Linked DNA regions of Elephas maximus indicus. The protein of the gene in region 3 interacts with the protein of the main gene of each other region in a pairwise test. Links are inferred from orthologs where the notes say so. Each region holds a gene or a part of one and is shown on either strand. Other genes may lie near its edges.

The links. The genes of interacting proteins can lie anywhere in the genome.
Region 1: the proteins of CTBP1 (region 3) and HEMGN interact in a two-hybrid assay, tested with the Homo sapiens proteins (2 studies listed by BioGRID and IntAct). The link is inferred for Elephas maximus indicus from reciprocal best matches to the Homo sapiens genes CTBP1 and HEMGN.
Region 2: the proteins of CTBP1 (region 3) and SNRPN interact in a two-hybrid assay, tested with the Homo sapiens proteins (2 studies listed by BioGRID and IntAct). The link is inferred for Elephas maximus indicus from reciprocal best matches to the Homo sapiens genes CTBP1 and SNRPN.

Annotation. Positions count from the first base shown.
Region 1 is NC_064827.1:47,863,041-47,870,801, forward strand, and holds the start of HEMGN (hemogen), read right to left. Parts: upstream 3,042-7,761; 5' UTR 3,013-3,041; coding exon 2,934-3,012; intron 843-2,933; coding exon 749-842; intron 1-748. UniProt on the Homo sapiens protein: Regulates the proliferation and differentiation of hematopoietic cells. Overexpression block the TPA-induced megakaryocytic differentiation in the K562 cell model. May also prevent cell apoptosis through the activation of the nuclear factor-kappa B (NF-kB).
Region 2 is NC_064831.1:99,699,193-99,706,166, reverse strand, and holds the start of SNRPN (small nuclear ribonucleoprotein-associated protein N), read right to left. Parts: upstream 3,042-6,974; 5' UTR 2,953-3,041; coding exon 2,950-2,952; intron 2,105-2,949; coding exon 1,953-2,104; intron 575-1,952; coding exon 463-574; intron 40-462; coding exon 1-39.
Region 3 is NC_064823.1:159,373,138-159,380,961, forward strand, and holds the start of CTBP1 (C-terminal-binding protein 1), read right to left. Parts: upstream 3,075-7,824; 5' UTR 2,900-3,074; coding exon 2,860-2,899; intron 1-2,859. UniProt on the Homo sapiens protein: Corepressor targeting diverse transcription regulators such as GLIS2 or BCL6. Has dehydrogenase activity. Involved in controlling the equilibrium between tubular and stacked structures in the Golgi complex.

The DNA of each region.
Region 1 (7,761 bases), on a different chromosome or scaffold from region 3:
CTGCCTCACTTACGATCACGTTCTGTACTCTGTCACCGAGATTACATAGAGGTGACTTTGACTGGAGGTTCAAGACTCCCCAGACTCTTCTGTCACTCACTCACTCCATGGAGAGTTAATCACACCTGTACAATAAAGATTTGACTAATAGGAAGCTTAGAGAACACTCTCAGAGGCTTCCTCAGTGATGTTCCCCACTCCCAACAACACGATGCTTACATGTTTCTGTGATCACAGTAGCTGAACCCCAGGCCTCTCAACAATATAACTGGATTGCTTGATGCTCTAATTAAAAGAGACCAGGGATAAAATTCTGTTCCCACCATTTTACTAGCTATGTGAACTCAGGCATGAGATTTAACTCATCAGAGACTTACTTTTCCTTTTTAGTAAAACAGAGATTCCAAAAAACCAAACCTGTTGTCGTTGAGTTGGTTCCGACTCATATCGACCCTACAGGACAGAGTAGAACCGCCCCATAGGGCTTCCAAGGCTGTAAACCTTTATGGAAAAAGACTGCCACATCTTTCTCCCACGGAGCACCTGGTGGGTTCTAACCACTGACCCTTTGGTTAGCAGCCGAGCACTTAACAACTGCACCGTCTTGAGCCTTAAAATAGAGATTATAATGCCTGACTCACAGGATTGTTGGAAATATAAAATATAGTCTGTGAAAGTGCTGAGCACTACTTGACATGTAACATATACTCGATAAATACTAGTTCCTTCCCTTGCGCTGATACCGTACCCAAATAGCCACTGGGAAGTTTGTTTTTCTTCTGCTGCAACTTTTCTTTTTCTGAGTTGCTCCCGGTTTCGCAAACTCCAAGTTCCAATGACTTCTGTAGAACCAAAATGAAAGTTATAGGAAAAAGTGATGAATTATGGCATTTATCAGTCAAAGAGTCCTATGGAAAGGTGATAAAATCTCTATGCTGGGTGTCTAAGATTTTTCTCCTCTAGCTTTTTGAGGACCACTTTTCAGATAGTATTTATACATGAGTGTGTTATCAACCTATTCCCTTCTTCAAAATGATTTTTACATATTGTATAAATAGAAGAAAAAAATCACTCATGCTCTGCCATCCTTAGCATGGTAGCCTGCTGTCATTTTATTCATTTCCATCCAATCCCTGTATTACACAATATTAAACAAGTTGTAATATAGCATATTACAATTTTGTATCTCTTTAGCCTAACATTGTATCAAATATTTTCCACAGTACAGTCTTCATAATTATAATTTTAATGATTACATGATACTTAATCAAGCTGATGTATTGTTATTTACCTAACCGTTTGACTTGTAGTGGGCATTCAGGTTGTTGACAGTTCTTTTTTGCTATTGCAGACCAAAGTATAATAAGCATATTCATGCTGATAGCATTTTCTTTCTTTAGGATTATTTCTTTAGGATTATGTTTTTCCAGGTTCTTTGAAATATTAAAGTTATTATCAAAAAAGCTTCTGTTGCCATGCAAGTTTGAGGAGAGTTATTAGGTCTTTGATAGAGAGTTTCCTGAGCCTTTACTATGCGAGCCTGCACTGTGGCTCCCAGAAGGGACAAAGTATGCTGCACGACCACGGTGCCTTGTTCTTAGGACACCACCACCAGCTGCCGCTGCGCCGACGCGGGCTCACGGTGACCCCACGTGTGTCCGCCAGGGGCCGCTGCGCTGACGCGGGCTCACAGTGACCCCACGTGTGTCCGCCAGCTGCCGCTGCGCCGACGCGGGCTCGCAGTGACCCCACGTGTGTCCACCAGCGGCCGCTGCGCCGACGCGGGCTTACAGTGACCCCACGTGTGTCCAAGGAGAACTGTGCTCCATAGGGTTTTCAATGGCTGATTTTTCAGAAGTAGATTGCCAGGCCTTTCTTCTGAGGCTCCTCTGAGTGGACCCAAACCTCCAACCTTTCGGTGAACAGCTGGGCACCTGAACCATTTGCATCATGTGGGGGCTTCTATTCTTAGGACAGGGGTTCTTAACGGTGAACTTGGATGGGAAAAAATTACACCTCTATTTTTACCAACCTCTAATTAAAATGACTATTTCCGTCAATTATGAATGTAGGCCACAAACCGTGGTAGTTTTAGCAGTAGCTGTGGCTTTGTCACGCAAAGAAATGACAGACTTGATTTTCATGTCACATTACCATTGCTGCAGGTACCTCAAAATATCATTTATTTACATCAATATCATTTATACACAGCATAAATATCATTATGCTAGCTATTAGACCCAGCACTGGATCTTGTTGTTTAACGCACCTACAAACACATATATTACTGTATTTCAAGCTTCCTTTTTTTTTATTTTGATAATCATGTTTTGATAACTCGATTTCCTTTCCAATCCTATGTATTTAATGTCCTATGTTTAAATTTTTTTATTCTAAGAGGGGGTCTGTAGGCTTCATCAGCATGGCACAAAAAAAAGTTTAAGAACCCTCTCTTAGTGTATCTCAAGGCCTAGGATTCTGCAAAACATTTTGAGAAATGCTGCTTTAGGACAGACCCAAGGAGCAGGATTCGTGAGTCAAGAGAATAAACACAATTACAGTTCTGGCTACTCAGTGCCACAGCTTTTTCTAAAAGTTACACCAAATTTATGCTGCCGTAGGAGCATACGGGTATATTTGTTTTACCACATCCATACAGTATTGTATATTTTCCCTATCTTTTGTTTTAATAATTTTCTTACTAATAATTTATTTATTATACTACCTTGTGTTTTCTGTCTTATTAGAATCTTAGTGCTAGAAGGCTCCTCAGGAAGTTACACAGTCTCAGTTTTTCCCACCTAAACTTATATGAACCTACTCAGTGATGCCTTTTTTTTTTTTTTTTTTTGCCAGATCCATAAAGCATAGGCAAGTAATCACAACCCCAATTCCTCCCAACAGCCACTGCCTCTGAAGGTCTCTTTCATTACCTGGAGCATGGTTCTCTTGTTGATGAGGAGCAGGTGTCCCATGGAGTTTCACATGAGATTGGTCTGTTCCTAAATCCATCTTGCCGCAGTACCTTCCTGCTATTTAGTCTGACTTCCACAAGCAGCTTAGGAGCTTTTTTAAAATATCAAAAGTAACTAACACTTAAACACACGCACACACAAGTTCACTTGTCACTTGACTTCCCGCCTAAATGTTTTATCTGGTTGGACCACAGCTGCAGGCTAATTCTGCTTTATCACCCTGTGCAGGTGTGAGAAGGGGGAAAATGGCTGGTGCTAGGTCCTCCTCCTCTAATAGGGTGCTCTTCACACAGGCAGGTACTCTGGCCACAGCCTGGTGTGCCACAGACCTCAGGACTGCAGTCATTTGGTTCTACCTGCCACAAAGTGTGGGGATCTGATGTCCTTGTTTACATAGGGGGGTGGCTGGTGTGGAAAGAGCACTGGGTGCAGGCTCTCACCAGCTCTGTGACTCTGTTTCCTCCTTTAAAAAGTGGGTAAATAATTCCTGTCTTGCCTACTTCATACAGTTCTCATGGAAGTGAAAATAATGGATGAGCAAATTTTGAAGTGTGCGATACAGATGTGAAATTCTCAGCTACTGTTTCTCTGCACGTGGCTTTTTTTTCTCCTGAGTCTCTTGCAAAATAATGTTGTCTTGCCATGTATCCTGTTAGATTTAAATAAATAAAACATAAAGAGAAGAACCAAACTAGGAATTCAAAGCAAATTTAAACCCTTTTCTGCTCACCCAATCATTCAGAAGAAATCTAAGATAACTAGAGACATCCACTGTTACTCGTCAAGGGGAAGGTCAAAATCATTTCTCAATGAAAACATTGCCATGTTATGAAGTTAAATTGAAATCAAAGGAACTATGCCATCTTTTGATGGGTCGCCCTGTTTGTAAAGGCAAAGAGGCAGAGAGGGCCATGGTTCTACTAAGGAAGGAACCTGAGCCCTTCCTGATGCGGGCAGCCAGCCTGGGAGATGCAGGGCTAACACAGAGGCTGAACTGAAGACAGCATGAATTCCAGCATTTCTATTCCCCGAGTCTGTGGCCTTGGGCATGTTAGATAGACTCAGGAACAATATTGGCTTCTACTTCTTGGGGTTGTTGGAATGATTAATTCAGATCGTCCATATAAGGCATTTTATATGTGCCTGGGATATTGAATATATACAAAAAACCCAAACTCATTGCTGTCCAGTTGATTCCGACTCATAGTGACCTTATGAGACAGAGTAGAACTGCCCCACGGGGTTTCCAAGAAGCAGCTGGTGGATTCAAACTGCCAACCACTGTGCCACCAAGGGTCCACTGAATACATTAAAAAAAAAAAAAAAAGCCAAACCAAACCCACTGTCGCTGAATAGATTCCAACTCACGGTGACCCTATAGGACAGAGTAGAACTGCCCCATAGAGTTTCCAAGGAGTGCCTGGTGGATTTGAACTGCCAGCCTTTTGGTCAGCAGCTGTTGCTGTTAACCACCACACCACCAGGGTTTCCACTGAATATAGTGCCTGGCATATTGTACTTGTTTAAGAAATGTTAGTTGCTTGTATTAATAATGACAGTAGAGTGAGTGTTCTTTATATAACATCTGTTCCGAAAAGTTGTTTGGAAGCCAGATTTTGGTAAACCAAATCATATTTTAAATGGAATAAAGAAACTCATAAAATCTGAAGGCAATCCTTTATAAAGAGAAAAACCAAAAAACCAAACCCACTGCCACTGAGTCAATTCCAACTGATAGTGACCCTACAGGACAGAGTAGAACTGCACCGTAAGGTTTCCAAGGTTGTAAATCTTTACGGAAAGAAACTGCCACATATTTCTCCTGCAGAGAGGCTGGTGGGTTGCGACCAGCGACCTTTCAGTTAGCAGCCGAGCGCTTTAACAATTGTCCCACCAGGGCTCCTTTTATAAAGACAAGGACTTTATAATGTGACTAGGTTTCCTCTGCTTTTATAAGACATTAGAACTGGAAGGGCCCCAAACCATCTAGTTCCTGCCTCTATTTTACATATGGAGAAAATGGGAACCAAGGAGGAGGAGGGCTGACTGGCCCAATATTTTCATACTTATTGGTGGTAGCACCTCTTACTAATTATGAGATGGGTCATCTTTTTTAATTGAACTTGCCTGGCTATGAAAATGTATGTGTGGTGGGAACGTATGATAAGCAAGTTCTTCAAACACACTGAAAAGTGTTGACAATCACACAACAAACGCCCAAGTACTCACTGCTTACATTTTACTTGGTTTTTAATAACCAGGTCCTAATGCTTTAGCTTTAAGTTTCTCAGTCCCCTAGTCTTTCACTTAAGTAAATTTCTATCTAAAATCCAGATAACCTTGGGGAGCCCCTATTCAAACTAGTCCTGTAGGGAATGGAAGGCTTCCTTTATAATTTGTCTCTCGATAATTTTGGATATTCAGGTATGGAGTTCAGTAAAGACATCAAATACTGATTAAAGTACCCTTGAAAAGTATAAAATAGTGCTTTTTAATTTAAATTGTTGTTTCAAAAGTTGGTCTCTTTGAGATGTTTTCATTCTTACTAGTACAGTTGTTTGTTACATTATGATAACTCAATAAAATAACCCTTTAGAATCCCTCTGGGGCACCTTACAGAGAATATATAGGTACTTCTTAAGTAGGATTATCCTGGCTCAGAGCTCACAACATCCAGTTCACCAATTCAGCACATCTTACTGAGCACCCACTCAGTGCCACATCCTGAGCAAGGCTGCCAGGCTACAGAGATGGGTAGATGCAGCCCCTCAGCTCTTTGCCCCGTAGGCTCATAGAGGACAGAGATATACAAAGCTTCATTGTAAGGCAACAATACTTTGATTCTTTACACTCTGCTACAAACTTCCTAAATCGATTCCACCACTGCCCCCATGTTCCCTGTATCTAGAAGCAGAGTATGGAGGAATTATAAGAGGGTGGGGTCTCCAGTTAACAGTAAATAAAGGGCAGTGTTGGGCGGAGGAGGCCAGTAGAGGGACTGACTAGATTGGAAGTCAGGCAAGGTGTCTCCGGTGTGATAAGCAGGCCAGAGCGGGAAATTGCCTGGGACAGAAATAGCCAAGAAGTAAGTTTACAAGCCATAACCTACTAGACTCTAGAGTTATCACCAGAATGTGAAGTATTAAGGCATTAAAGGGTGGATATTTTAACAAACGCTGCCTTGTTCTAGGGTTATTTGCACATATACATGAAACCTACTTCTGGTTCATCTTTCTATCTCTACAGCATGATCTAGTGGAAGGCTGGGCACACAGTAGTTCCCATCAGTGCCCTCACTACCTGTATGCAGAGCTGGCTTCTTGGGACACCGACCTATGAAAATACTTTGGAAACTCTGAGGGGCTGATGCTGCCATGACTTAATAATAATATTTCTATCATCTGCTCCACAGTTCTTTCTACTGGCATATCTACTCAATGCCCAGTGTCCTGGAGACATAGCTGTTAAAAGACAAAAGTCCTTGCCCTTTTGAAGTGTATATTCTAATGGTAAGAGGTAAACAATAAACAAATGAACGAAATATGCAATATGTCAGATGGTGTTTTTTTTTTTTTTTTTTTTTTAATCAGTTGGTGGTAAGCGCTTTGGAGAAAATTAAGCAGGGAATGATGGGTTGGGGTGAGAACGGGAAGGTTGATGGTGGCTGCTGTTTTAAATAGGATGGTTGAGTGGAACTGATGGAAGTGAGGGACTAGCCATACGGATAACTGGGGGAGGGGAGTGCATTCCAGGCCTAAGGCACCAGCAAAGTTTCTGAGAGGAGAGAGTGGTAAGAGGTGAGGTTAACAGGTAGCTTGTTGACACTGGTACGGATTTCTCCTCTGAATGGGATGCGTAGTCATGGGATGGTTTTGTACAGAGGAGTGATGTAATCTGACTTATATTTTAAAAGGATTATTCTGGCAACTGTGTGGAGACCACTGAAGACAGGTGAGGAGGTGGAAGCAGGAGGTCCAGTTAGAAGGGTATTGCAGTAATCCAGAAGGAAGACGATTAAAGCTTGGACAGTGATGAAAGTGGTGAGGAAGGGGTCAGATTTTGGATTAGCTGACAAATTGAATATGGGGAGATGAGAGAAATCAAAGACAATGACACAGGTTTTGGTCTGAGAAACTGGAAGGATGGAGTTACTTACTATTAACAGATGAAGAACAGCAGAGCAGCTTTGGAAGAGAAGACCAGGAGTTAGCTCTGGATGTGTTAATAGATTGTGGAGATACGAGAAAACAGCGAAGGAGCAGCCAGTAAGGCAGAGGAAAACCAGGAAAGTGTCCTGTCCCAGAAGTCAAATGAATATAGGCAGATGGAGTAATCAACTCTGTCAAATTTCGCTAATAAGTGAAGTAGAAGAAGGATTGAAAATTCGTCCTAACAGTTTATTTTCTAACAATTCAGTTAAATGAAATATAGATGGCGGAGCCCAGAGAGTTTATGTGACTGGGACAAAGGCATACAGGCAGGATTGGCTGCATAGTTGGCAGGGCCCATGTAAAATGAAAACACAAGAGGCCTCCTCATTTAAAAATTAAGAATTTCAAGATGGATACAGCAGAGCATTAAACCCAGCACAGGGCCCTACTTTAATAGGTATCTCACTGGGTCCTTGCAGCGAGCTTATAAAGTGGCTATTATTCTTCTCACTTTTCAGCTCAAGAAACCGGTGCTCCACGTAAAGCCACAGAGCTAGACTGGGAGTTTGAGCCTGGAACCCGGGCCTTCAGCCTCTAAGTCTGACCCTCTTCCTACCAGACCAAACTAGGTATTG
Region 2 (6,974 bases), on a different chromosome or scaffold from region 3:
TCCTGCAGCTCCAGCAAGTGGAACCCGAGCAATGCCAGTCTGAAACAAAAGTTTACAACTTGAAACCAAATTCTCAATTGTCGTAATCTCTCACTCGTACACTGATTAACTTCACCCTGTTCCCATTCCACCTATCTCATTTTGGTTCTTTACTCAAAGGAAAAAATGGGCAAGTGCACCTTGGAGACATCTTGCAGATGCCTAGAACGTACATTATATTTGTCAAAACATGTATGTTTATGACCATAAAATGAGAAAGTAAATAAGCAACTGCTATGCTTATCTAGGTACTACACGGTGCGAAGAATAATTTATCATAAAACCCTAATCTCTAAATACAAAGAACTGACATCAAGTGCTAAGCACGTTTTAATTGACGAAGATGTGCTGTACTGTGCCTCTCTCATCTCCAATAAAGCAATGCTCTTCCACATGAAAGTTCCATCCTACCCTACATCTTACATCTTTGGGGGGTGGCCCCTCCACAGTCATGGAAACCAAGTTCTCCCCACGCAGCAACACCAGACCCAAAACCCGCTTTTCTTCACGCTCTGGCTGCTTTGCATTCTTTGGCCTACAAATCAGAAGCAAATTTTCGTGAAGTAAGTTAGTATCTCTAGCTCAAATTATTTTACATAACTTACATGTGTATCACAAAGTAAAAATTAAGACAATAACTGATGCCAAGAATCTTATTTAAACATAAGACAGTCACTGAGCTGTGATAAAATTAACACCTAGACTCAGCTGATATGCAAATACTAGGTACAGCAAGGTGAGTGCTGAAGCTCTTCTATTAAGCTTCAGCCCTTTAAAGAATGTTCTCTAGATATTACACTTCAGCAAAACTAATTTCTTCATTGTAAAATAAATGCAATGACACAGTAAGCCTTTTAAAACAGTCAAAACTGAAACCTAACTCTATATAATTTTAAGATGGGCAATAATTTCTAAATCATTTTTTTAACTAGGTAAATCTTATTGACATATCATGGAACTGAAATAATGAATAAGACAGTAATAGGCAAAAGAGGGCATACAAAATGGTAAGGAAGTACTTGGAATCAGAGACACCTGTGTATTCCTGAGCTTACCATTTACTGTGTAACTTTGGAAAATTAAATTCCTATCCTAGTTTCTTCAAATGTAAGCAGGAAAAATCAGATTAATGTCTACTGCATACATGTATGGGGTTTAAACCGCATTGTTTTTTTTTTTTGTGTAGGTAAAAGGAACCATTACAATTACAATGCCATTTAATAAATCCCATTAGGTATTACCAGAGAATAATGCAAGCTGAAGCATTAACTAGGTATAATTACTCCCACGACTTGGTCAGAAAGGAATGAAAAACAGAAACTGAGAATATGCCCGAAGCTCTCAAATACCTTCTTTGTTATTTATCAATATCATAAGGGTTTTTTAATGCTTTTTAGTATAAAGGTGGTTTAAACAAAAAAAGTAAAAATAAAACTGAGGCATCCACCATCCTAGCACTTCTGGAATGATCGGCCTTGGTACAGGAAGGAGACTGGAAATAAATGAAAGGGGGACGACAATGAAAATGTCATGAATTCTGTTCATTCAAATTTAACTGAGAAGAACTGTCCTCAACAAGCACAAGGAGTCAAACATCACTTTTCCTCATTATTTTAAAACCCAGGAAACCCTGGTGGTGTAGTGGTTAAGTGCTACAGCTGCTAACCAAAAGGTCAGCAGTTCGAATCCGCCAGGCGCTCCTTGGAAAGTCTTTTTGCAAATTAGAAATAGTTCTATGGCGATAAAAACTTTGAGACTGGGAGCCTCTACAGCTATTTGAAGATGACACCGAAGGGTTAGAAACTTTTTCCCTACCTCCTTCAACTACCCTCTATAATCCCTTACTCCTGCTCTAGCCTTGGCTTCCCACTGCCTCTACCTGCATATTCTTTACCCAAACAGGTCTTTCTTACTTGATCTTCCTGAACTCATCACAATCACAAAGGATTAAGTTCATATGCTTGTCAAAGGCCTTAAAGGTGCCAATGAAGATTCGGCCATCTTGCAGGATACATCTCATTCTATAGTCAATGTGCTGCAGCATCTTACTGCTCTTGCCCACGGTCTGCAAGGAGTAAAATGAGAGTCAATAATCAGCTTGTTCACAGCCTATTTTTCTATGCCACTTGGGTTTCTTTCCCACTCCTATACCAACCTGAAACTGACTTCTTTCGCTGACCAAATCCCTCCACCTTTCCCCAATTTCCTTCACACCTACTCAAGACAATAGTCTACATTTGAATCCAGTTCCCCTCTATAGCTCCATCATTCTAATCCCATTCCTTTCCCAAATCATGGCCAAACTTCACCCTCTCACAGACACTTGACCCTATCTCTTTTCTCTCCTCTCCAAGTTTTGTTTTTTGCTTCTGTTTTTACTATTAATAGGGTAGAGTAGTGGTTAAGAGCTTGGCTGCTAAACACAAGGTTGGCAGTTCAAATCCACCAGCCACTCCTTGGAAACTCTATGAGGGCAGTTGTACTCTGTCCTTATAGGGTTGCTGTGAGTCGGAATCAACTCTACACCAACAGGTACTAATAAGGTTAGGATACTGTATCTTTCTCCAGACTGCTTTCATCTATACTAACTGAGCCCCAAATTTCTCCATTTTCAAAGTAGATGTTACATATACTGTAATCTGACCTAACAGTCTACCTTCAAATGGTCTCTTACAATTATAATCACAACCAAAAACTCTTCTGTATTTTCTCACAGCAAAATGGTTTGCAATCCTTTTCACTACTACAACATGAACATCACACATTACTTATCTTCAGCCACTACCCTAATTCAGTGAGAATCCATTTCTACAAACTTCTGATTTTTAACATTCAGAACCCAAAATCAACCCACACTCTGGCAAACCCTTAGAGCAGTTTACCACCCCTCTCTCCTAATCTTCATCTTACCATGATTGCTGTTCCACCAAATCCAATGTCCTCACAGTAAAGTTTCTGGAACCTTAAGACCTAGGGGAAGGCTACAGATAAAGGTATGACGTGGTTCTCCTATAAACAATGCCAGCTGGGAAGAAGCTTCAAACAGCAGACGGAGCCTGCGGAGGAGAGCATGTTCAAGCTGCACCACCATCTACCATGTTTACAACAGGCAGATAATTTTGCATGAAAACCACAAAAGACATATTCAAAAATATTCCTACTCCCATGTTCCCACAACCACCAAGAAAAAATTCACTATTCCCTCATATTAACTATCACATTTGACAAAACTCATTTAATTTTATTTTGCCTAGAAATGTGCCAAAAATCAGCTTCATTATCCACTCCCAAAATTTACTATTTTCTCTTTCCATCCTTATTTAAGCTACTGATTCATTTTTTTCTCTGGTCTAAAATTAATACCGAGTCACCTCTACATCAACATCTTGATAATCAAGTTTCTCCATCCCAACTACCCCTAAGTTAGTTCAAACATTCACGGTTGGTTGGTTGGTTGTTTTGTTTTGTTTTGTTTTTTGGCCATACCACCTAATAACTCACTTAAATGTTCTCAATTGAAATGTTCCCTCACTCCCTACAGCTCCATCAAAATGATGTTAGCTAATCTTTATTTACCAAGAGCCAGGTTTATTACTACATACCTGCTTCAGACTTCCTACGTCAAAAGGGTGCAAACAACTAATTGTCGATATATCGGAATACGGCAACTTCCATAGTCACCAAAGAAACACACACTTTAACAATAAGCTATCCTTTTCCCTGTTACTCTAAAAATGCGCCTTCCATATACGGCTACGAAATCTAGGCTGAACTGGTTATAACAAAGCCTCAAGCTGTGACTTATTAAAAAAAAAAACCATAGACATACTTTTTAACAGAAGTTTAGGTTTATGCATAAAAGAAGCACAGCATTAGAAACAAAATCTGATATAACTACTTTTAACAAGGCAACCATTTCCAATAATATTATACCTTCATTGTTTTCAATACAGAAATACTAAAATCAAGAAAAAGTAAGCTGGTTATCTATGTCATGAATTGTACATGTGAACAGGACTGAAATGACAGCTGTTTTATTTTGCCACAATAAAGAAAAAAGAAACTGGTTACATATACAAGTTAAAATTAATTAAAGTGTGGTTACAAACTACAGAAACATCAAAACAATACAGAGAAATAATGCTTTGAGGACACTGTCACGTGGAGCTATATGGTAACAGAACAGAAGAGAATGTAGTATCAAAGTAAAAGTTCACTAATGGTGATGAGATGCAGGAAAGATGCTTTCCTTCTCATTTCCAAAATTTTACATCTATTAAATAAATTTTTATGACAACTCGGATTGCCTAAACAAATTCCTGATGTTGCTTCTTTTTGGAACATTTCCTGCAAGATGATCTGTCCATATCTTAACGCATGGTCTGACTAATCTCTATACACACCTCTTCTCCAATCAACCAGGCTTATATTCTCAAGAGTGTAAGAATTATGTCCTTCCAGACACTTCAATGCCTAGCACCCAGGAAGAATCCAATATTTGTATGAATTAACGTTTTACATGAACCTTATACTTAAACGAGTATACTAATCAGCAGCCTGAGGACCCTCAAATGCAGTATCTGACGCAAACTCGTTTAAAGCCTACAACATCTTTGTTCTGAATATTGCCTTAAAATTCTTTATAATGCAGAGTCCAAACACCACCACCTATATATAAAACTCAATCCTCCTTTTCTTCTTAAATACAGCACGTTTTTTTTTTAATTCTTCATTTTTATAACCCTGTATCTATTAAGTCCTGGGACCCTGAGCAAACCTAGAGACAAAGTAATAGATGAGTGGTTGTCTGGTGCTGGGGGTGGAAATGGGGAATGGCTGAAAATAGGCATGATGGATCTTAATGAAGTGATGGAAATAGTCTAAAATTACCCTGTGGCAATTGGTGCCCAAAGATGTAAATTAGCTAACAAGTCTAGATTTATACATACTTCTGTGAAATATCTAGAATAGGCAAAAGCAGAGACAAAAGTTTATCAATGATTACCAGAAGTATGAGTGAGGGAGGATTGGGGCATTATTGCTTAAGCGGTACTGAGTTTCTGTTTGGAGTGAGGCAAAACATTTTATGGATAGTGGTGATGGCTGCACAACATGGTGAATAAAATTTATGTCACTGACATATATTTAATAATGATTAAAATAGCAAATTTTGTTATATATATTTTATCACAATAATATCATACAAACAGTTGGTAATTTTATGGTATTGAAAGCTATGTATCAAAATGTTTTAAAGGGTTCAATAAGGTCAATAACTTAAAATAATGTACAAAGTTCAAACTATTACTTTCATATGCCACTGATGGGGGAAAAAAATCAGCACAACCACCGAGACACTATTCCTTGACCACGCTCCCTTGCCGCCAACAATGGAGACATACTACCAGCGTGCCACAGAAAAGTTATTGAAAGAAACCAGTAGAGCTGGATATAGCTTTTCTAAGACTAAATTTGAAAGACAAAAAAAAAAAGTAACCACAGAAACCTTTAAGGTTTTTATTGAGTAAGAGGAAACCCTGGTGGCGTAGTGGTTAACTGCTATGGCTGCTAACCAAGAGGTCGGTAGTTCGAATCCACCAGGTGCTCCTTGGAAACTCTATCGGGCAGTTCTACTCTGTCCTATAGGGTCACTATGAGTCGGAATCGACTCGACGGCAGTGGGTTTTATTGAGTAAGAAAAAGTAAACTGAGGCACTTGACTAAAGTAAAATGGCTGCTTTAGCGTTCAGGGTCCTACTCCATCTTGCCTTTAAGATATGCAAACCCCTAACTTATTCTTTAAGGCCTATAACTAAATGTAAACTAAAGAAACCTTTTTCTTTTCCCCCTTTTCTCTGTGGTTAGGAAACCCTGGTGGTGTAGTGGTTAAGAGCTACAGCTGCTAACCAGAAGGCCAGCAGTTTGAATCTACCAGGCATTCCTTGGAAACCGTATGGAGCAGTTCTACTCTGCCTTATAGGGTCACTATGAGTTGGAATCTACTCGACAGCAATGGGTTTATCAAGACCCTTCCTGAAACAATGTCTCAGGAAGAAGACCTTGATGCTGACTCTCTTCTGGGTCTCCTAGGCAACTACTGACAAGAAAAATTTCACTTAAGCCAGGTGTTTCTAGTAGAAAAAGGACCTGTAAACCTCCACAGCCCCCACTTTCAGTAAACCCACCTTGCGTTAATCTAAGTTTGTAATGTCCAATCAAAATAGTGCACCTCAAGTTCTTTGTTCTCATCCTTTAAAAGTTCTCTGCAGCTTCACTGTTTTGGAAGTATTTGTTCACTCTGTAAAATCAGACGTTTTATCCAGGCCAGACTGTTAATGAACCACCAATAAATCTCCTTTCTTCAACAGAGTAAGTGTTTACTACGCTTAGACATAAAACAGCACCCGAACAGGCTCGGAGGCATCACCTTTTGTAATCTCCTGGGACATCACCAAATCAGACCTCTGTGCCACAGGGGTATCTTTGTGCTGTTCCATTTTTCTGGGGTCCTGACATTGTCACTCCAGGTAAATAGCCTCTGGAGCTGAACTCAGCCTTTTTGCATTGAGTTTCTGAAGAATTATGATTGGTTTTCTATCTTCTGCTGTCTGAAATTGATCAAACACGTAATAAAGATGCACTGATAATTACTAGTGATTGTAACTGAAAAAGTTGAAAACAAAGAAGTACTGGTAGTTGGAGAACTGGCCTCGGTGACAGAGATCTCATGATACACTTTTACAAGAATGAATTATTCATTGCAAATACCTTTATTCAACAACAAAAATGGTGACAATACATGTGGACCTCACTGAATGGAATACTCAGAAATCAAATTGACCGTATCTGTGGAGAGAGACAATGGAAAGTCCAATATCAGTCAGAAGAAGGCTAGGGGCCAAATGCAGAACAGATCACCAATTGCTCATATGCAA
Region 3 (7,824 bases):
GCCCACTCCCTTCCTCCCTCCCTCCCGCCCTCTGCAGCCCCAGGAGCAGGGCCATCCAGCCAAGGAAGGTTACAGAGTAGCCGTGGAGAGCAGTGCGGTCTGTAAGGCTCAGACACCCTGTGTTGCCACAGGGTCGAGAGAACGCCATAAGGGGCTTTGCTTCTGCCACCTTTCAAAACGAGAGGAAAAACGGCGCCCTGGTGGCAAACAGAAGCAGGTCCCGACCTCCTGAATTATTAAGGTGGAAACAGGCCAGCCCAGCGCATCGCGTGGAGTTTCCTCAAATCATGTGCGGGGACTGTGGGATTCCAGCTCTCCCTCCCCGCTCACACAGACCCAAAGATGCCCTGGCTGCACGACCCCCGGGCTGCACAGCTCATGAGCTGAAGTGACCAACTGAAAGCCACGAACAGAGAGGCTGCCCTCCCCACTAGCTGGTCGGTCACGTTTTCATTTTACGTATTTAGGAAATTTAGTTTAAAAATTCACACGGCACTAGCAGGCCTGCCACCAAACAAAATGCCTCTAAAATCGCTGGAGTCACCGAAGCCCGCCCCAGCACCCTCCACATACGCTCCATTTTGAGATGGCTGTTTTTCTTCAGAGAAAACCCTTTAGCTTGAGGGTTACTACTTTCTTTCTAGTCTGTAATGCCACAAAAGCCCCAAATCAACAAGCGAAGCTTGGAGAAATCAGTCCCCCCACCCTGGCTGCCCCGTGGCCACCAACACAGGAAACGAGGCTAGACTCACAGAGGAGGGGTAAAAAGTTCACGACAGTTTCTTTCCGACTCCTCCGCTTGGCCAAAATGTATAACTGTTCTTAGGAAATACAAGGTTTTTTCTTCTTTCAAAGCAAGTTGTTTGCAGCGAATCCCATCCTTACACCCTACTGAGACTTGGTCTTTGTATCCTACTGTATCATAGTAAACACTCGCTTCCAGAGCTTTCCTCGGAGGGAATATGTGTGAAGGGAAGATCACAAATGAAGTAAGGGAGTCAAACGACGGGCCACGTGAGGCTAGACTGGCTCCGGCAAGACGAAGTGGAGCTGGGGGCAGCTGTTGGGGGGTCTGCTGGGGCCACAGGATCACAGGCCTTGAACCTGGGGCCCTGGGGACTTGGAGGGGACAGAGGCCAAAGGATCACCAGCCTGGGATCTGGGGCCTTGGAGGAGGGTTGGAGGCCACAGGATCACCAGCCTGGGATCTGGGGACTTGGAGGAGGGTTGGAGGCCACAGGATCACCAGCCTGGGATCTGGGGACTTGGAGGAGGGACGGGGGCCACAGGATCACCAGCCTGGGACCTGGGGACTTGGAGGAGGGACGGGGGATACAGGATCACCAGCCTGGGCTCCGGGGACTTGGAGGAGGGACGGGGCCAAAGGATCACCAGCCTGGGATCTGGGAACTTGGAGGAGGGACGGGGCCACAGGATCACCAGCCTGGGATCTGGGGACTTGGAGGAGGGACGGGGCCAAAGGATCACCAGCCTGGGATCTGGGGACTTGGAGGAGGGTTGGAGGCCACAGGATCACCAGCCTGGGATCTGGGGACGTGGAGGAGGGTTGGAGGCCACAGGATCACCAGCCTGGGATCTGGGGACTTGGAAGAGGAACAGAGGCCACAGGATTACCAGCCTGGGATCTGGGGACTTGGGGGAGGGATGGGGGATACAGGATCACCAGCATAGAATCTGGGGACTTGGAGGAGGGACAGGGGCCACAGGATCACCAGCCTGGGATCTGGAGACTTGGAAGAGGAACAGGGGCCACAGGATTACCAGCCTGGGATCTAGGGACTTGGGGGAGGGATGAGGGATACAGGATCACCAGCATAGAATCTGGGGATTTGGAGGAGGGACAGGGGCCACAGAATCACCAGCCTGAGGTCTGGGGACTTGGAGGGACAGGGATGCGGGATCACCAGCCTGGCATTTATGGGGACCAGGGTTACAGGATCGTAAGCCCAGAAGCCATGGATCCAGTAGGGCCAAGCCGCAGGATCAAGGGCCTGAAAAGCAGGCGTCCAGAGGAGGAACATGGAATGCACGGTCACAGACCTAGAATTGCGGTGTCTGCTGGGACTGAGACCAGATATTACAGACTTAGGATCTGAATATCGAATGGGGACCCAGGGATCCGATGGGGCCAGGCCTCAGGACCACGGTCTCAGGATCCCGAGAATTCAGCAGGACTGGGGCTGTAGGATCAAGGGTCCAGAATCTGGGGTTCTGATAGGACCAAAACCTCAAGATCACGGACCCGGGATTCAGGAGTCTGAGGCTGCAGGATCACTGGCCCAGAATCCGGGGTTCTGATGGGGCCAGAGCTGCAGCGTCGTGGACTCAGGATCCGGGGAACTGATGGGGCCGGGCCACAAGTTCACAGACCCGGAACCCGGGGATTCAGTAGGGCCAGGCCGCAAAAACATACGCCTAGAAAAGGGGGATGCGGCGGCCCCGGGGACGCAGTCACGGGCCTGGGATCGGGGCATCTGTTGGGGCTACGGGCGCAGGACTGCGGGTCCCAGCCCCGGCCGGGCCCAGCTGTTCCCTCCGGCCGGGGGCTGCCGCCCGGCCCGCAGACCCCTTTGTGTCACCTGCGCGGGCGGGCGGGGCAGGCGTGGCGATGGCGCACGCGCACTCACACGCAACCCGCTCGCGCACGCGCCCGGCCCCGCCCGCGGCCCCGCCCCCTCGGCGCGCACGCGCACTGCACACAAAGCCGGCGCCCCCCACGGGCGCGCGCTCGGCCCGCCCCCGCGCCCACCGCCCACCGCCGGCCGGTTCCCCGCCCCCTCGCCCGCCCGCCCGCCCGCCGGCCGCGGCCGGAAATGCGCGCGCGCGGCCCGGCCTTACCGAGAGGCAGGCCCTTGTTGAGCAAGTGCGAGCTGCCCATTGAAAGGCGCGGGCGGCCGCGGGCCCCGACGAGTCCGGCGCGCTCCGCCGCTGGCCCGGCGCGTGGGGCGGCCTCGGCGCCGTCCGCTGTTCCGCCCGCTCGCCTGTACCTGGGCGCCGCCGTGCCGAGCCGCTGCGCCGCGCCGACAGCCGCGCTCCGAACGGGCGGGGACAGGCGCGGCGGCGGCGGCGCGCGGGCGGCGGGCGGGGCTTAGCGGCCGGATTAATCTCTTGTTTCCAGGAAAGAGCGCCGCGCCGGACGGACGCGGGCGGACGCGGGCGGCTGCAGGGCGCGCCCGCCCGGCCCCGCCCCAGGCCTGGGCGGTGCCGCGGCCGAACCCGCGCCAGCTCCGGCCCTGCACCCCACAGCTCCGGGCGCCACCGAGGGGCGCGGGCGGCGCAGGGCGGAGCCGGGCGCACCTGCCGGCGCACCTGTCCCGTGGCACCTGCGCCGCGCCGTCGGGGCCGGCCGGGTGTAGGACCCGGCTCGCGGCCGCGGGTGGCAGCTCCGCGGACGCGACGGCCGAATGGTTACCGTGCCCCTGCACGGAGGCGCTGCCAGGGCGCAGACGGCGGCCATGCGCAGGCCTGCAGGCCCCGGAAGGCGCTGGACGCGGCCTCGCTCCGCGGAGAAGCCACAGCAGACGCCCCAGCGAGTTTCTGGCGCTGTTGGGAACCCCCCGGGACGAGCTTCCCTAGCCGGCTGCGGGAGCCGCCTGCTGCCCCGATGACCTGGACCCAGGGACCGGAGCAGGGGTTCCCCGGGCCTAGGCGGGACCCCGGGGAGATGAGGCCAGGTGTGTCTGAAGCGGGGTCCGTGCCAGAGAACTGGCCCGCCAGCGGACCCCAAACCCCGGGGAGCGGCCTGCGCTCCACAGGGGTGGACTGCAGAGGCGAGCTGGGCCCCTGAGGCTTGTGGGGGCCCCTCTAGGGTGGGAGTCCACCAGCCCCAAGGGCAGGTGAGCCTGTTGATGAGGAAGGGCAGCAGCCAGCCCGGGAGACCCTGGTCCCTCGAGCCGAGCCGGAATGCTTTCTGTTGCGCCGGGGCTAATAGGCTGTGAAGACAGGAATCATTGTTCTCTGAAATCAAAACAAACCAATTCTAGGTGTCCAAGTTCTTTCTGGAGTTCCTTCTCTCTAAAAAAAGGTCCATTTTCCCACGGTCTTGGATACACCTGTACCTGTGTGCCTTTTCAGCTGCTGCACTTTCAGCACCTGGCTGGATCCAGGTCTTAGCCAGGAACACAGGTCAAAGGAGCAGCCTGGAGACATTTCCACTGCCAGGAAGGTCCCAGTGGTACCTGAGGGGAGCCACCTGTTCACTTGGAACGGGATTCCTCCCATCACCAGCCCAGGCTCTGGCCCTGTCCTGAGATGGACAGGAATGTGTAATTCATCCAGCCAGCAAGGGACAGGGAGCTTGTGACAAGGAAATGCAAAGCTTTAGCCAGGACTTTGAGACAAACAACCTGCTACCAAAATAGCCCATGCCTACCTGGAGGTGCCTGGAGATCATGGCCGGTAGCCATTCCCCTGTCTTGTGACCGCTAAGCCCCAGAGTGCTCAGCATATGGCCCCCATAAACATCCACCTCTCCTGGACACTCCCATCTACATCCAAACACAATCAAGCCCCACATCTAACCCCCATCCTAGCAGCTGACGTTAATGTCAGTCTGTATGGAAGCATCCGTAACGCTTATTTTCTGTATCTAAATTAAATTTTACGTGTATATTTAAATGTTACATGCACTTGCATAAATAGACATGTATATACATAGGAGCCCTGGTGATGCAATGGTTAAGCGCTCAGCCACTAACTGAAAGGTTGGTGATTCAAACTGACCCAGTGGATCTGCGGAAGAAAGACCTGGCGATCTGCCCCCGTAAAGATTACAGCCTAGGAAACCCTATGGGGCAGTTCTACTGTGTCACGTGGGGTCTCTACGAGTTGGGATTGACAACACCCAACATTAATATATGTACATATTGAGGTGCAGTCAGTTGCTTTTATATGACCTTTCTAGCCATGGTCTTTCTTATAACATCCATAAAATGATTGGGTGGAACTATGTAAATAAGGTGTGTAAACTACGGGGATTGAACAATCTGCTGATGCAAATAAGGTGCATGGAAACCTTGTAGGGGATTGGTCAGTTTTGTCATCCCACTAGGCTTAAAAAAAAACAATCCAAGGTTGAGAGGGGACCTCACTACCATCAAAAAGAGGCAGGAGCAAAGTGCGCCCTTTAGACCCAGGGGCCCTGCACTGAGAACCTGCTAGACCAAGGAGACAGAGCTATAGCATTGGAGAGCTGTAACTCAAGAGAGCTTTTACACTGGAGATGACGTGAGATGGTGAGAAGCAGTGGCAAGCTTAGCAGAGTCCAGCAGCAGAGACACCACAGCAAGAGAACCAGGAGGCTGGTGTGAGGTGGTGCAGTGGGCTTCTTGGCCCACAGAGCAAGGCAGCTATACTGGGCTTGCCAAGCCGTGAAGTGAGAGAGCTGAGCACCTCCGGGTAGACTTGCTGTCAGAGTGGGGTGCCTTTGGGCACTTATTTGTGGAGCTAAAGGGTTGTAACACTTGCCCGAGCAGGGCAGAGGCCTGCCTACGGGCATGGCTGAGAAGCTGTCCTAGTGGAAGAAATGTATCCTGAGCTCCTGTTACTTCCAACTTGTTCCAGATCCTGAATTGTAACCTGTTACTTACATAATAAACCCTGTAATCTTGAGTATGGTCTGTGAGTTCTGTGTGGCCGTTGCAAGGAACTATCCAACCCAGCAGAGAAGTAGAGAGTGTCGTGGGAGGGATGGCTGGTGTTAGAACTGGCTAAACGGCTGGAGAGTGGAGGTGTGTCTGACCTGCACCTCATGGGAGTCAGCTTCGGGCTAACGCTGATTGTCACTCTCTCTTCGCCTCCTAAAGTTAGGCAAGGAGGTCTGATACGACACTACCATTTTACACATACGTCCATGTTTTAAACCAAAATCCCACTGCCATCAAGTCAATTCAGAATCATAGTGATCCCATAGGGTTTCCAAGGCTGTAAATCTCTACGGAAGCAGACTGCCACATCTTTCTGCCATGGAGCTGCTGGCGGTGTCAAACTGTGGACCTTTCAGTTAGCTTTAACCAGTGCGCCACCAGGGCTCCTCATATACATGTTTGGATATATATATATAGAGAGAGAGAGAAGAAACCTGGTAGTGCATTGGTTAAAGCACTACTCAGCTGCTAAATGAAAGGTCGGCAGTTCAAACCCACCAGCTGCGCCACAGGAGAAAGATGTGACAGTCTGCTTCCATAAAAATTTACAGCCTTGGAAATCCTATGGTGCAGTTCCACTCTGTCTGACTCACAGCAACAGGTTTATATATGTATGTATACATACATATATATATATCAAACTCATTGCCATCGAGTGGATTCTGACTCATAGCGACCCTATAGGACAGAGTAGAACTGCCACATAGAGTTTCCAAGGAGCACCTGGTGGATTTGAACTGCCAACCTTTTGGTTAGCAGCTGTAGCACTTAACCACTGCACCACCAGGCTTTCCTATATATATATATATGTATATAACTGTATATATTATGTATAAAAATAGTATTATATATATATTGAATATATATACACACACATATAAGTTTGAATATGTTCTTTTAGGCACCTACTTTGGAGATCACGTTCTTATCATGCATGGCTTCTTGGCAGCCTTTGCAAACTTCAAGAAACTCCAAGTTTCTGGGACTCGCCCTGTGTGGGTTTTCCTCTCACGCCTCCCACCACCGGCTCCTCAATGCCAGGCCCTCTTCTCTGTGCACACCCTCTGCAGTGGCCTCACCTGGAGATGCTTTCCGACACCTTTCCCTCCCTCACCCCAAGCCCACTCAACTCCCAGGCCACCTGGTCACATCTTCCACCCACGTCCGCTGCTCTCCATCCCCCACTGCCGCCTCTCACCGCCCAGCTTAAGCACTCTCCAACACTCCCTAAATACAAACCAATTACATTCACCTGGGAAAAGGTCACCACCACTGAGACCCTGTGTGACCTGGCCACCTTGCACACCAGCCACCTGCCCTCTAGTCCTGCCACCCGGCCCCCGCCCCTCGGTCTGCTGCACTGTCTTCCTGCCGGACAGTGCTGTGCCATGAGGCTCTGCAGGCTGCTCACCGCTGCCACAGGAATGGACACATAGTGGGCACACAAAGATATCTTTACTAAATGAACTGGTACCAAGACCAAAACCCACTGCTGTCCAGTCAATTCCAACTCATACAGACCCTATAGGAAAGAGTAGAACTGGCCCATAGGGTTTCCAAGGCTATAGTCTTTATGGGGAGCCCTGGTGGTGCAGTGGTTAAGCGCTGTGCTGCTAACCAAAAGGTCAGCAGTTTGAATCCACTAGCCGCTCCTTGGAAACCTTATGGGGCAGTTCTACTCTGTCCTATAGGGTCACTGAGTTGGGATCGACTTGATGGCAACAGGTTTGGTGGACTTTTTGGGGGTGGGGGGTGGGCGGTGAGAATCTCTATGGAAGCAGACTGCTACATCTTTCTCCCGTGGAGCAGCTGGTGGCTTTGAAACGCCAACCTTTCGGTCAGCAGCTGGGCACTTAACAACTGTGCCACCAGAACAACTTAAATGAACGGGAAGAAGGTAACTTTTTTTTAACCGATATTCCAGTGTTGAAGGAGCCCTGTTGGCACAATGGTTAAGTGCTCAACTGCTAACTGAAAGGTTAACGGTTAAAACCCCACCAGCAGCACCTCAGGAGAAAGACCTGGGAATCTGCTTCTATAAAGATTACAGCCCAGAAAACCATATGGGGCAGTTCTACTCTATCCTATGGGGTTGCTATGGATCAAAAATGGCTTGACGCACCCAACGACAACAGCTGCATTCCAGTATTAATGAGCT